2 linked regions of the Elephas maximus indicus genome follow. The protein of the gene in region 1 purifies or fractionates together with the protein of each later gene. This does not show direct contact. Links are inferred from orthologs where the notes say so. Each region holds a gene or a part of one and is shown in the gene's direction. Other genes may lie near its edges.

Evidence for each region. Proteins that work in one complex are often made in the same cells at the same time.
Region 2: the proteins of MYH9 (region 1) and ACTB purify together in Homo sapiens (affinity purification with western blotting; 4 studies listed by BioGRID and IntAct, with this or other methods). This does not show direct contact. The link is inferred for Elephas maximus indicus from reciprocal best matches to the Homo sapiens genes MYH9 and ACTB.

Annotation. Positions count from the first base shown.
Region 1 is NC_064822.1:179,980,861-179,987,818, reverse strand, and holds the start of MYH9 (myosin-9), read left to right. Parts: upstream 1-3,881; 5' UTR 3,882-4,096; intron 4,097-6,958. UniProt on the Homo sapiens protein: Cellular myosin that appears to play a role in cytokinesis, cell shape, and specialized functions such as secretion and capping. Required for cortical actin clearance prior to oocyte exocytosis. Promotes cell motility in conjunction with S100A4.
Region 2 is NC_064830.1:100,217,243-100,224,351, reverse strand, and holds the start of ACTB (actin, cytoplasmic 1), read left to right. Parts: upstream 1-4,109; 5' UTR 4,110-4,206; intron 4,207-5,257; 5' UTR 5,258-5,263; coding exon 5,264-5,386; intron 5,387-5,516; coding exon 5,517-5,756; intron 5,757-6,222; coding exon 6,223-6,661; intron 6,662-6,754; coding exon 6,755-6,936; intron 6,937-7,109. UniProt on the Homo sapiens protein: Actin is a highly conserved protein that polymerizes to produce filaments that form cross-linked networks in the cytoplasm of cells.

The DNA of each region.
Region 1 (6,958 bases):
TCCAAAGTGGTTGCACCAATTTACACTCCCACAAGCAATGTATGAGAGTAGTTGCTCCTCATCCTTGACAACACTTGGTGTTTTAATTTGAGTCACTTTGGTGGGGGTAGGGAGACAGCAGTATCTTATTGTGGTTTAATTTGCATTTCATGATGACTAATGATGTTCAGTTTCCAAGAGCGCCTGGCGGATTTGAACTGCCGACCCTTTGGTTAGCAGCCATAGCACTTAACCACTACGCCAGTTCTACTCTGTCCTATAGGGTCGCTATGAGTCGGAATCGACTTGACGGCACTGGGTTGGGTGGGTTAATGATGTTGACCACTTTTTCATATGCTTATTGCTTATCTGGATATCCTCTTTTATGGTGTACCCATTTGAATCTTTTATCTGTTCAAAGAAAAATTGGTATATTTCTCTTAAAATAGATGTTCTTGATAAATTCTGTGTACATGTCCCTGGTGGCATAGTGGTTAAGAGCTACGAGTTCTAACCAAAAGTTCAGCAGTTCGAATTCACCAGGTGCTCCTTGGAAACCCTATAACCTCTATTCCATAGGGTTACTATAAGTCTGAATTGACTCGAAGGCAATGGGTTTGGTTTTTTTTTTTGTGGGGACGGGGTTTTGTTGTTAGGTATGTGTATTGCAACTGTTTTCTTTCAGTCTGTGATTTGACTTTTCACTCTCTTAAATGTGTCTCTTGATGAACAGAAGTTCTTAATTTTATTGAAGTTCAATTTAACCATCTTTTCTTATGTTTAGTGCTTTTCATATCTTGCTTAAGAAGCTTTTGCCTACTTCGTGATCATGAAGATGTTCTCCTACGCTTTCTTCTAGAAGTTTTGTTTACTTTTCACATTTAGGTCTTTGGTCAATTCTAAATTACTTTCATGTTGGGTGTGAGGTAGAGGGTCAAGATTCATTTTCTTCAACTGACCTATACCATTTATTAAAAAAGACCATCTTTTCTCCACCTGTTTGCAGTCGCACCTTTGTAATAAATCAGGTGGCTATATATGTGTGGGGAAACCCTGGTGGCGTAGTGGTTAAGTGCTGTGGCTGCTAACCAAGAGGTTGGCAGTTCAAATCCGCCAGGCGCTCTTTGGAAACTCTATGGGGCAGTTCTACTTTGTCCTGTAGGGTCACTATGAGTCGGAAACGACTCGACGGCAGTGGGTTATATATGTGTGGATCTTTTAATTTTACTAAAAAATATATACATCAGTAAGTGTGTATATGCATACTCCTGAGAGTGTATTTGAAGGAAGGAAAAAGGTTTGTTAATAGTCACTATGGCAGGGGAGATTATGGGTGATTTTTCTTTTCTTTCTTTTTAGTATTTTCTATTCCAAACAGTATTATTTTAAGACTCAGACAAAATAGATGAAATGTTTTTCTAAAATATTCCATGAGTGAAAACGGTGAAGGGTGCAGGTTGTTGGGTGATAGATGATAGTGTTAGGCTGAATAGCAAGGCAGAAGACTTCCTTAGTTAGATGTGGGCCTGAGGAAAATGGAAATGATTATTATCAAGAATGCTCTGTTGTAAGTGCACACTACTTAGCAATTTGCAAAATGTTTTCAGGTCCATGGTCTCCTACGCTCCTTTCAACAGTCCAGTGGGTTAGGCAAAGCCCCCTGATTATACCCATTTTACAGATAAGGAAACAGGCTCACGCTCACTGAGTCTAGCTCCAGCATTCACAGAAGACCATTTTATGCCAGGCCTTGTGTTAGCTCTGGGTCCAAGGAGCCAAATAAGCCAGAACCCTCCGGCAGCTTTAGCCTGGACAGAGGAAACAAGTAAATGGACAATTAAAATCTAGTGTGTACCTGCTATGTGAGAAGTAAATGAAAGTTGGTGTGAGAACATACAGGAGGGCATCTAACCTAACGTGGAGGGTCAGGAAAGGCATCTTTGAAGAGGTGACATTGAAATGAGTCTTCTTCTTTTTAATTATGCAAGTGATATATGCGTTAGAAATACAGATAAGCAAAAGAAAAAATCAGCTATAATTCTGCTACCAAGACATAACATCTGTTTACACTTTGTTATAATGCCTTTTAAACTTCATTCTCTCTGACACACACACACACCCGAGATACACACTCATACAACACACACATACAAACATCACACAAAAATGAATGAAATCCTGCTACAATAGCATTGTCTAATTTATTCTTCCTCACTTAAACCAATACATTTTTTTAAAATTAATTTTTATTAAGCTTCAAGTGAACATTTACCATTCCAATCAGTCTGTCACAAAACCAATACATTTTAAAACCAAGAATTTTAATGACTTGCTGAGTGTTTTTCAACATATGGGTATATCAGAATTCATTGAATCAATGTTTTATTATTGGACATTTAAGTTATTTCTAATAGTGACTATAAACAATGTTGCAATGAAGAACTTTTTAACCCAGTCTGTGCACTTCTTCCATTATTTTCTTAGGATGTATTCTCAGAATTTTTGATCAATTTACTTTCTGGCCTGTATCTTCAAACCTGGCCAACAGTGGGCATTTTTATCTTTCTTCTTTCTAATTTCATAGGTGACAAATGTCACTCCATGCTGTTTTTGTTCTTTTGATTAATTTTTTCATAATTGTTGGGGACACATAAATGCACATTTTTTTTTTTTAATAGCTTGGTCCTGTTTCTGCCCATTTTAATTTGGGTGTATTTTATTTGGGGGCTTTCTCATTGACTGGAGAGAGCTCTCTACCTATTATTGATAGTTATTCTTTGTCACAGAGTTGCAAAATGTTTTTCCAGTTTTCTTTAGCCTTTAGAATACGTTTTTTTCCTTTAAGTTCTTTTGGAAGACCAGTTTAATGCAAATAGTAAGGGAATTCCAAAAAGAAAGAATAATGAGGAGAAATTCGCCCTCTCGGATATAAACTATATTATAAAGGTACCATCATTAAAAGCATTGTGTAACTAGCATGGGAATATACAGAAAGATCAATAGATAAAATTTAAAATCAGCTTCAGGTATATATGAATTTAGTATATAATGAAGGTGGTACCTGAAATTAGCGGAGAAAATGGTGTTTGGAGAACTGGCTATTAAAAAAATGCATTTCTTCCTCATTCCAAAATCAAAATAAATTCCAGATGGATTAAAAGATATGTATAAGAAATAAAAAAAATTAACAAAAAGAAATAAAAAGTGACTTTATCTTCTTGTAGTGACAGTAACTCCCCTCCCCCTAAAAAAAGCATGACTTGCCTACCTAAAAAAAAAACCAAAGTATTTGTAACAAGCACCTGAAGGAATGTGTGCGAGTTAAAATCAGGTAAAAAGGGTCTTGGAAGGGCATTTCCTGCCTGAGCAAAGGTCGGGAGGCTCACAGAAGTGAAGCCGGCTGAAAATAGATAGGGTCAGGAATCGAACTCAGGACGCCCGCAACGGAATCCGGGGCTGAGTCCACACCCGCCCCCATAATTATGTAAAACAGCATTTTTCCCATATATGGTCTTTAATATCTGTTTTTCTGGCAGGATGACATGGGATAGGAAAAACACAGCTCGCGGGGCCGGTGTCAACACCCCCAACCTTCCCTGCCGGCTCCCGCCGGCCTCGCCCCAGCATAGGCAATGCACCAAACCCAGGCCAAGTCCTCCGCGCCCGAGCCTCCTCCTCTTGATTGGACCTTGGCTACGTCAATCCTCCTCCTCCCAAACCTGTTTGCAGCTGGACCCGCCCTCTGGGCGGGGCTCCCGCCTAGGAAGCGCGGGGGAAGGTGCAGCGGGTGGAGGTGGAGGCGGATGAAGAGGACGAATGCCCGCCCCCTGGCTCCCCTGGTCCCGCCCACCCCTCTTCCCATAGGCCAAGCTGTCCGTCCATCAAGACCAGGAACAGGCGGCTGCGAGGGCGGGGCGGGAAGGCGGCGAGGAGCAGAGCTGGGTGCGGTGAGGCGCGCAGATCACCGCGGTTCCTGGGCAGGGCACGGAAGGCTGAACGAGGCTGACCTGCTGCCGCTCCCGCCTGGCACGCTCGCCCCACCCGCCGCCGCTCGAGCGCTCAAAAAAGCCCTCTCAGAAGCAGCAGCGCTTGTTCCCCGGGGCAGATCCAGGTTCAGGTGAGCTCGCCCCACCGGCAGGTCCCGCCCCGGGCAGGCGGACTGGCGGGCGGGGGCGGCGGCGACGGGACGCGCGGCGTCAGGGGCGAGCGGGCCAGCGTGTGGTTCTCGGCCTCGGTGCGGCCGGCGAGCGGCGCGGGCGGGCGGCATCTCCGCGGGCCTCAGGCCCGGGCACCGCATCCTCCCCGGAGGGGCACGGGACCCCTGCGCGGGCGCTCGGGACGGCGAGGCTTCCGGGGGCGGGCGAAGGCTTCGGGGCCGGGGCTCCGGGCACCCTGTCCCCTACCCGCCTGGGCACATTCCCCGGACGGGGCGCGCGGGAAGCCCCGACCTCCCTGGCTGCCGGGGCGCGCGCCCTGTCCGCGCCTCCTAAGTGCCCAAGTCGGCCAAACTTTTTAACCCCTTCGGAGGAGCCCTGCACCTCGGACCCAGCCGAGCGAGCGCGAGTGAGGCGGGGGGCTCGGGGCAGCGTGGACTTCTGGCAGAGGCTCTTTTGGAAGTTTCCAGGCGTTTTCGAAACAGAGGTAACGGGCAGGCGGGGACCGTTTGGCAGCTGTCAAGGCGGCCTCCTGAGTCAGAATGGGACAATTCCTGCCGCAGACATTGCACTCGGCTTGGTTTCCGCCCTCGCTCCTGACTTCCTCATTCGCCCGGCGGAGTCTGCGGGCGAGGAGGGTGGGGAGAGGTGCGTGCAAAAGGGGACCTGGCGGGACAGGGCCGCGACGCAGGAAAGGCCGCCCCTCCAGCCCCTCACTTTTGACTCTGTTACCTGAGAATGCCTGCAGCTGTCGGGGCCTCCCAGGCGTGCACCTGATTGCGCACGCGGCACCCCGCCTGACCAGGGGCCGGGGCTGGAACCTGCTGCTTTGGGACTAGGCCCGGGCTAGCGCATCTTTTCTGTGTGGGCCAGTCCAGGGGTTCCTAACTCCCCTCGTTCCCGGTGCAGGAATCCTCACGCATTCTGTCCCTGGGCCACGTCCAGGGCAGGTTCGCGAGCCCCCGACCCTCTGGAGAGCCTCGTGGTTTAACGCTGAGACAGAGTCACCTCCAGGACTAGCTTGCAGGCTGCCTCCAGGTTGGGGGCAGGGTGAGTGCCAGGGCTGAGCCTGTGACCCCACCCAGGGGCGTGGGGAGAAGGCTCCTGGGAAGTCCCAGGTCCTGCTCCGCGGGGCATCTGAGAGGCCCAGCCTCTTGTCGGTTCACTGCATCCTGTTCTGGGTTTAACAGGATTTCAAAGTAACTGTTGACGAGGATGAGCCTTAGCTCCTTCTCGGTGCAACACTGCGGCCTTTTCTGGCTCACTGTCTAAGCCCGATGTGCTAACCTCACTGGATGGCTTAGTCCCTTCTTGGTAAGGAGGAAGGCTGCTTTAAGGCCTGTTTAGGTAATCACTCGATTAATATTAGTCAGTTTACATGTGAGGATGCTATGGTGGGGGGGAGGGTACACAGATGTGTAATGGAGCAAATATTTAAGTGGCTTCTTTGTGCCAAGGACTCTGCCAGGTGGTGGGGGTGCAAGGTTGAGTAAGACCTGGCCCCTTCCTTTAGCACATGGGATAAATCTGTCGATGACTTTAATATGAGGCAGAGATGACAGGGACCCCAGAAAGGTACTGTGAGTCATGGAAGTGGGAGAGGGAGCCAGCCCACCTAGCAGAGATCTTGGGGGCCCCTGGAGGAGGCCTCTGCCCTTGGGACACTTACAGTCTTGGGTGGAAACAGTGGAAGGATGACTGAAATACAAAGCCAGCCTGTGATCAGTGTCCCAAGAATGCCATAGACAAAGGACTCGAGGAATTCCAAGGCGGAGAGGAGCCACTTCTGTCTGGGAGCTGGGAAGCTGCTGCGAGCCAGGAACACATCGCAGGATTGGCAAACTGAGGCACGCATGTGGTGTTGGAAAGTGAGGAGTCATTTAGTGGATAGTTGGGAGGTAATTAAAAATGTCAGCATTGCTCAGTGTAATTTGAGAGCCTCCATGCTCCAGGATGGCCAGGCCCAGTGACACTGAAGCGGTCCATTCTCCATGCTCAGCAAGTCCTGGCAGCACCTGTGGGCAGATCCAGGTGCCCGAGAGCCAAGGTTGGCGGGTTCTGTCTGGGGAGTTCTCCAGCCTGTGGTAGAAAGGCAGCCAGAGAGGCACATTATTTGGAGGTCTGCTTGTTTGAGAGGGTTGGGGCCCTGCCTTTCTTGTTTTTTATTTTTAAACTTTTTAACCTGAGGGGCTACAACCTCTCTCGTAGGATGAAGGGCACATGTTGATGTAGCTTGTCTTTTGCCTGCGCTTGCTCTAGAAAAAACAAAACAAGGATCTGTTAGCTCTTCAACTGGCGAAACACACTCAAAAAAAAAAAAAAAAAAAAAAAGCACCATTGTTGTATCGCTTGGTAGGGTATTGCTAGAAGCCAGGATGGCCCAGCTTTCTTCACTTCCTCTTCTCACTAATCCTCCAGTAAAGTACTTAAGGCAGCCTTGACCAGCTTGACATCTTTATTTCAAAAGGAGAGGAGGGGTTGGCCGTAGTTTTCCTCTGAGCCCAGCCCCTGCCCTTGGAGGGGGAGAAACAGAAACCCAAAGCAAAGGGGAGGAAAAAAAAAATCCATGCCTTGACAGCTTCTTCCCAAGCATCATGTTCCAAAAATATTTAGAAGAACAAAATCTGTGTGTCCTCTTAATTAAACAAACATCCTAATTTGCTGAGCATAAAACAGCATCTCTGCCCGGGGCAGGAAGTGCATTTTCCCTTTGTGCAACTCCAGAGAGCCACTGCCTCTCGGCCTTAACCCTTGGTGCGCTGAGCCCCTGGGCTCAAGTCCTCCAGTGACAACAGAAGGAAGCCCTGGCTGCCCCCTGGGAAGTA
Region 2 (7,109 bases), on another chromosome or scaffold:
GAGCAGGGAAGGCCCCGACTGTCCGGCACAAGGAAAGGCAATGTCTGGAGGCTTGGCCTAGGTGGAGTCCGTGACCCTGGCCATGGCCCAGCCCAGCCCTCCTGCCTCTGAAACCCTCCCTTTCTCTTCACCACCTCCTTCAGCTGCCTGTCACCTCCCCAGAGAGGCCCTCCCTGACTGTCCTTTGGCACAGTGATTAAGAGCTCAGCTGCTAACCAAAAGGTCAACTGCCCCCAAACCCTACGGGGCAGTTCTACCCTGTCCTATAAAGTCCCTATGAGTCAGAACCTACTTGATGGCAGTGGATTTGGTCTCAGGTTCTCCTTCTTAAGGAAACCTGTGCTTGCCCTCAGAGAGGCATTAGACTTGTTTTTCTTTGCTCTTTTGTTCGAGGTCTGTCTCAAGGATTACACTCATGATCCTTGCTCAGAACAGTGCCTAATGAACTCTGGAAGCCTGTCTGGCTGATCGGTGCGTGGGAAGCAGGATCAGTGTGATCTAGGAGGTGCTCCAGAGGAAAGGCCTTTCAGATTCAGCTCCTGGCTGTGCCCTTGCTGTGTGATCTTGGCTGGACTTCTTTGCCTTTCTGAGCAGGAAAGCTACTGCTATTCTGTCAGAGGAGGGAGGAAGTCATGGTAGGCTTCCTGGAGGAGGCAGCCCAAGAGGGGACACTGAAGGCTGAGGAGATCTTGGGCAGGAGGCAGAGGGACCCCCAGCACATGCTCTCCAGATTCCTGAGGTCCAGTTGCTCAAAGGGGTCTGGGTTGTGCCTTGAGAACATTCTAGAAACAGGGGAGATGGGGGCAAGAAGTGGCAGGAGAGAGCAGGTATGGGGCCTCAGGATGGATTGTTGTGTGACCAAGAGCTGGTGCTGTCCTCTCTGGTCCTCAGGAGGCAAGTGTTGAGGAGGGAAGGGTCCAGGAATTCAGCCTTTTGAAGAACCTTTGATCCAGGTCCCTGGGGACATTCCAGGGGACACTTTAGCCAGGGAGCGGCAATGTCAGAAGGAAGGTGAGGCTGCCACCTCTGGGTGCCTGGAGTTTGGATCCTTCACACAGGGGTGCCAGCCCTACGTGCTTTACCAGTCCTGCCTCAGTTTCCTCATCTGTAAAAACGAGATGTTTCAGCTCCTCCTTCACTCCAGCACTCAGTCACCCCTCACTGAGCACCTACTGTATGTGGGGTCTCTGCCCTACTGGAGCCAAAAGTCTAGAAAGGGAGTTCTCCTGCCCTGCTCAGCCTCCCTTCTCAAAAAAATGGAGCGTGGGACCCCCGCCTGGCAGTGGGGCTTCAAGGGAGTGGCCCCTCCATAGGCACTGTAAATGCTACAAGACACCGTGTTAGAGATGTCCCCTTGCCTGGGGGCCTTGCAGGGTGGGGGAATCCCTAGAGCAAAGGCATGGAGGTGGGACCAAGGCGCTGAAAGAAAAAGTACCAGGGGAGCAGGTGGAGTCTGCAGCGGCTGGGCCCCAGCTGAGGTCTTGCTGTGGCTCTGCCGAGACCTGAAGTCCCAGCTGTGAAACTCCCTGCAAGAGCGAATTTCCCAAGCTAAGAAGAACCTGTTCACTTCCTCTCTCCTGCCCTCTCCACCCCCTCCCTCCAGCTCTCCACTTCCTCTTTTCCTCTTCCTCTGCTTGCTTTCTCTCTCTGGCCTGTTTACTGGCCAACTGAGCGCCTCCCCCACCTAGGCTGGCTGCCCTAGCCCCCTCCTGCACCCCATCTCCACAGGGTCCTCTCTGAAGGCTGAGGACACCCAGTCAGATGCCACTCAGTTGCCGTGGAGTCCATTCCAACTCATGGCAATGCCATGTGTGTCAGAGAACTGTGCTCCATAGGGTTTTCAAAGACTGGTTTTTCAAAAATAGATTGCCAGGGCCTTTTTTCCAAAGTGTCTCTGGGTATACTAGAAGCCCCAGCTTTTCAGTTACAGCTTTTCAGTTAACCTTCTGCACCTCCCAGGGATTGAGGACAGACAGGTGGTCAATTTTTCATTTAGCAGAGTAGGCCCCTGGGGTGCATGTGGTGGGAAGTAGGGAGGCCAAGACCCTCCAAAGGTTCAGTTATAAATGTGGGCCCAGCACAGTGATCTTGTGTGAGAAGGAGGGTGTATGTGGACCATGCTAATGGGCTCCCCAAGGAGGGGTGTTCTTGGATGGGCCTTGCAGGATGCATAGGAGAGCAAAAGGAAGTGGCGGTTGCAGGCAGAGGGAGCCAGAAGGCCAGGAATGTTACAGCCTGAGGCGAGGTGAGCTGGAGTGCCTGTCACTTGACAGGCCCCTGGCTGGGTGCCTGGGCAGAGGCCTCTGAGAAGAGGCCAGGTAGAGCTCAGGACCCTTGCCCTATAGCTCTGGCCCGCCCCGCTTGCTCAGCACCCATTAGGCTCTGTGCACACAACGGGAGCACAGCCTCATCAACAGTGAGTGGAAAAGGTTGCCCCCCAGCCTGCTGAATCACAGGGTTGGCAGATTCTGAGGCGGCTGGCAAGACTCCTGCCACTGAGAGACACAAGGCCAGGGACAGGGCAGTCCAGCCCCCAGGGAGGGGAGGCAGGGAGTGGACAGGCTGAGAAAGTGCTCCCAGGCCTGGGCGGTAACAGTGGAGCAGTGGCAAGTCACCTGGCAGGCCTCTGGGAATGTGTGCATGGGGCTCGGAGCTTATGACCTCCTCTGTAAGCTGGGTGGTGGTCACTCTGTCCATCTTCATAGTGCTCTGCCACCTCTTTCCTGGCCACAGGTACCACACCCCTATGAGGGCTAATGGAGCCTTCATTTCCACACACATTCCCCAAGCACGTGCTATGTGCTGCAAAGCCCTGGGCAGACAGGGTGTCCAGCATGGACCAGTGGTGGCAACTAGTGTGTGCCCCTAGCTGGACCACCTTCCTGTTTTCTTCATATGCAAGTCCAACTTCTTGTCACCAGCTCCAGAAGGCCTGCATGCCTCCCTAGCCAGAGCCACATGCTACTCTGGGATCCCATGGCCCTGGGCTTCTGTCTGGACACACTGACCAAGATGTGGCTACCCAAATCAGGCTAGTAGCTCCCGGAACAGGGAAGTGGGCCACTCACTGCTGACCACCTGGAACACTCCTGGGCATAGAGGTCCTGCCCAGTGTTTGGTGAACAGACCCAGGGCAAGAAAGAGTGACCAGAGGCTCTTGAAGGACAGCTCCCACCACCACTGTCCCCCAGCTCCTCTCTGGCACAGGCAGTGTCCCTCCCCAGTGTTCTTTGCAGACTCCAGATGGTCCAGGTAGGCAGCTCAGCTGTAGCTACACATGACAATGGATGGTGACCCAGTCCTCAGGGCTGTACTGAGCCCAGCAGGGCCTAGCAGCTGCTCGGCCACCGGCTAACGGCCCTGGTCTGGCCTGGGTGTGCCCAGGCAGCCCTCAGAGGCAGCCTGGCACCATGGGAACAGTTTCCTTGCTCCATGGAGCCCAAAGCCTGTGGCTGGGGTGGCTGGGAGACTTCCGCACAGTGAAACCTTGGGGTCCTGGGGCCTGGGCCCTGAGGTCCTTCTAAGTGGCCACAAGCCCCCTGACTCCCCCAACCCCTACCCTCAGCCCCAGACCTCTGAGTAGGGCCCCCCTGCTCCGTAGCAAGCTGAGCATTCCAGCCAGAAACCCCCAGCCCGTCCAGGCAGTTTCGCTAATGTTGGCAACGGGCAGTGACCCCTGACTGCCCCCACCTCACTTCCCCTCTCCCGCTGCTCCTCAAGCAGGTGCCCACAGCAACCAGGCCTCTGGCAGTACCCAAGCTGACCCGTGCCAATCGGGCGTGCACTGCTCATGTGACATCCACACCCCGAGGGTCCCGGATAGGGGGTGCGGAGAGCGGGGCAGGCGGTGGCCCAGGGCGCGCACCCTGGCCCACGAACCCAGCACCCAAGGGCGGCCAAAGCCAAAACTCTCCCTCCCTTCCTCAATCTCGCTCTCGCTCTCTCTTTTTTTTTTTTTGCAAAAGGAGGGGAGAGGGGGTAAAAAAATGCTGCCCTGTGCGGCGAGGCCGGTGAGTGAGCGGCGGGCGGCCAATGAGCGGCCGCCGTTCCGAAAGTTGCCTTTTATGGCTCGAGCTGCCGCAGCGGCGCCCTATAAAACCCGGCGGCGCGTCGCGCAGCCACTGCCGAGACCGCGTCCGCCCCGCGAGCACAGGCCTTTCGCCACCGCACCGCTACCGCCGCCGATTCACACCCGCCACCCCAAAGGTAAGCCCCTGGCCGGGACCCCGCGCACAGTGCCCCCGCTGATGGCGGCCCCGTGCACAGTCCCCCCGCTGATGGCGGGACCCCGCGCACAGTCCCCCCGCTGATGGCGGCCCCGTGCAGTCCCCGCGCTAATGGCGGGGCCCCGCGCACAGTCCCCTCCCTGATGGCGGCCCCGTGCACAGTCCCCCCGCAGATGGCGGCCCCGTGCACAGTCCCCCCGCTGATGGCGGCCCCGTGCACAGTCCCCGCGCTAATGGCGGGACCCCGCACTCAGTCCCCCCGCTGATGGCGGCCCCGTGCACAGTCCCCGCGCTAATGGCGGGGCCCGCGCACAGTCCCCCCCGCTGATGGCGGGACCCCGCGCACAGTCCCCGCGCTAATGGCGGGACCCCGCGCACAGTCCCCGTGCCCTCTTTCTGGGCAGCCAGCACCCCTTGGCCGGGTTGCCTTGGTGTCTGCCCACAAACCGCGGCCCCGCGACAAGTGAAGACCCGGGAACAAGGGCTTGGGAAGCACGGCCCTGAGGGGTTCAGTGGTCGGGGTTGGGGAGACCCAGCCTTTGTCTGAGCGGGCAGGCTGCTTGCTGCCAGCCGCCTGGCTAAGTGGGTGGGAGCGCGCGGCGGGCCCAAGCCGGGGCCGTGTGGGGGCTGGGGCGCTACTGCGCGTGCGTCCGGCAGCCGCGAACGCGGACAGCGCGGGCCGGGCCTGTAGGGTGAGGGCGGGGCGGCCGTCCCGGAAGGGGTGGGGTCGCAGCAGCCGTGAAGGCGGCTGCGCGCACTTAACTCCCTCCGCCCGCCGAGGGTGTGGCCGCGCGCCCAGCCGGGTTTGAACGGGGCTTGGGCGGGGCCGGCGTTCGGGGGGCGGGGCCTGGCCTGCGGCCGTTGCCGAACAACCTTTGCCTTTTATGGTAATAACGTGGCCGGCCCGGCTTCCTTTGTCCCGAGGCCGCGCGCCGGCGCCCCCTGGCGGCCCGAGGCTGCCGCGCGCCGGAAGCGGGGAGGGGCGCAGCGGGCGGGGCGGGGGCGTCCTGCTCATAGACTGCTCCCCGCAGTTCGCCATGGACGATGACATCGCTGCTCTCGTGGTCGACAACGGCTCCGGCATGTGCAAGGCCGGCTTCGCGGGCGACGACGCCCCCCGGGCCGTCTTCCCTTCCATCGTGGGGCGCCCCCGGCACCAGGTAAGGCGACAGTCTATTCGAAGTGGGTGGGTGAGTGGGTGGGGCTCTCTCTTGGGCGCGGCCCCTGGGACCTTGGGAAGGCCATATGGGCGGGGGTCAATGCTGACTGCCTCCTGCCCTTCTTCCGCAGGGTGTGATGGTGGGCATGGGCCAGAAGGATTCCTATGTGGGCGACGAGGCCCAGAGCAAGAGAGGCATCCTGACCCTCAAGTACCCCATTGAGCATGGTATTGTCACCAACTGGGATGACATGGAGAAGATTTGGCACCACACCTTCTACAACGAGCTGCGTGTGGCCCCCGAAGAGCACCCTGTGTTGCTGACTGAGGCCCCCCTGAACCCTAAGGCCAATCGCGAGAAGATGACCCAGGTCAGTGGCCAGATGGGGTCCTGTTGGGTGGCATCCGCCACCCTTTTTTAACTTTCTCCACCACGCTCTTTCTCACTTGTCCTTCTTTCTGCCGTTCTCCTAGGAGTCTCTTCTCTGATCTCAGTCTCCTGTGGAACTGTACAGGTTCTGTTTGCCTTTCCCCAGACGCAGTCTCTTTCTGGTGTTTGTCTCAGTGACTAGGTGTTTTAAGCCTTTAGTGCTGTGGGTGTAGGTACTAACACTGGTTCTATGCCAGAACCAAGAGGCTGGTGTAAGATGGCCTCAGAGTGTGTATTCAGTAGGTGCACAGTAGGTCTGAACTGAATCCTCATCCCCACCCCCAGCACTCTTAGCTGTGTTCCTTGCACTTTCTGCATGTCGCTGGTCTGGTCTGGCTGTTCCCTCCCCTCTTGGGTGGGCAGGGCCAGCTTCCTGTGCCTGACAAGGCCTCATGTCTTCCCCACAGATCATGTTCGAGACCTTCAACACCCCCGCCATGTACGTGGCCATCCAGGCCGTGCTGTCCCTGTATGCCTCTGGCCGTACCACCGGCATCGTGATGGATTCCGGCGATGGGGTCACCCACACTGTGCCCATCTATGAGGGCTATGCTCTCCCCCACGCCATCCTGCGTCTGGACCTGGCTGGCCGGGACCTGACGGACTACCTCATGAAGATCCTCACGGAGCGAGGCTACAGTTTCACCACCACGGCTGAGCGGGAAATTGTGCGTGACATCAAGGAGAAGCTCTGCTACGTTGCCCTGGACTTCGAGCAGGAGATGGCCACGGCGGCCTCCAGCTCCTCCCTGGAGAAGAGCTATGAGCTGCCTGATGGGCAGGTCATCACCATTGGCAACGAGCGGTTCCGCTGCCCCGAGGCCCTCTTCCAGCCTTCCTTCCTGGGTGAGTAAGCTGGGCTCCTGGCCCCTGCCCTGCACAAGGGCCAGGTGTCCCTGCAGCAAAACTAAATCTAGTCTGCCTTCCATTTTCTTCCAGGAATGGAATCCTGTGGGATCCACGAAACTACCTTTAACTCCATCATGAAGTGCGACGTTGACATCCGCAAGGACCTCTACGCCAACACAGTGCTGTCCGGCGGTACCACCATGTACCCGGGCATTGCTGACAGGATGCAGAAGGAGATCACAGCGCTGGCACCTAGCACAATGAAGATCAAGGTGAGTGTGTGTCCAGTCACATGAGTTGGGAGACGGCCACCAGTTTGTTGGCCATTGTGTGGGATGGTCCCAGTGGTTGTCCAAGCGGTCGTCAGCCATCTTGGCGTGTGGTTCCCTAGGATGTTCAGGAGGCTTTTCTGTCACCATGTGCCAGTCCCACAGGGCCGCCACAT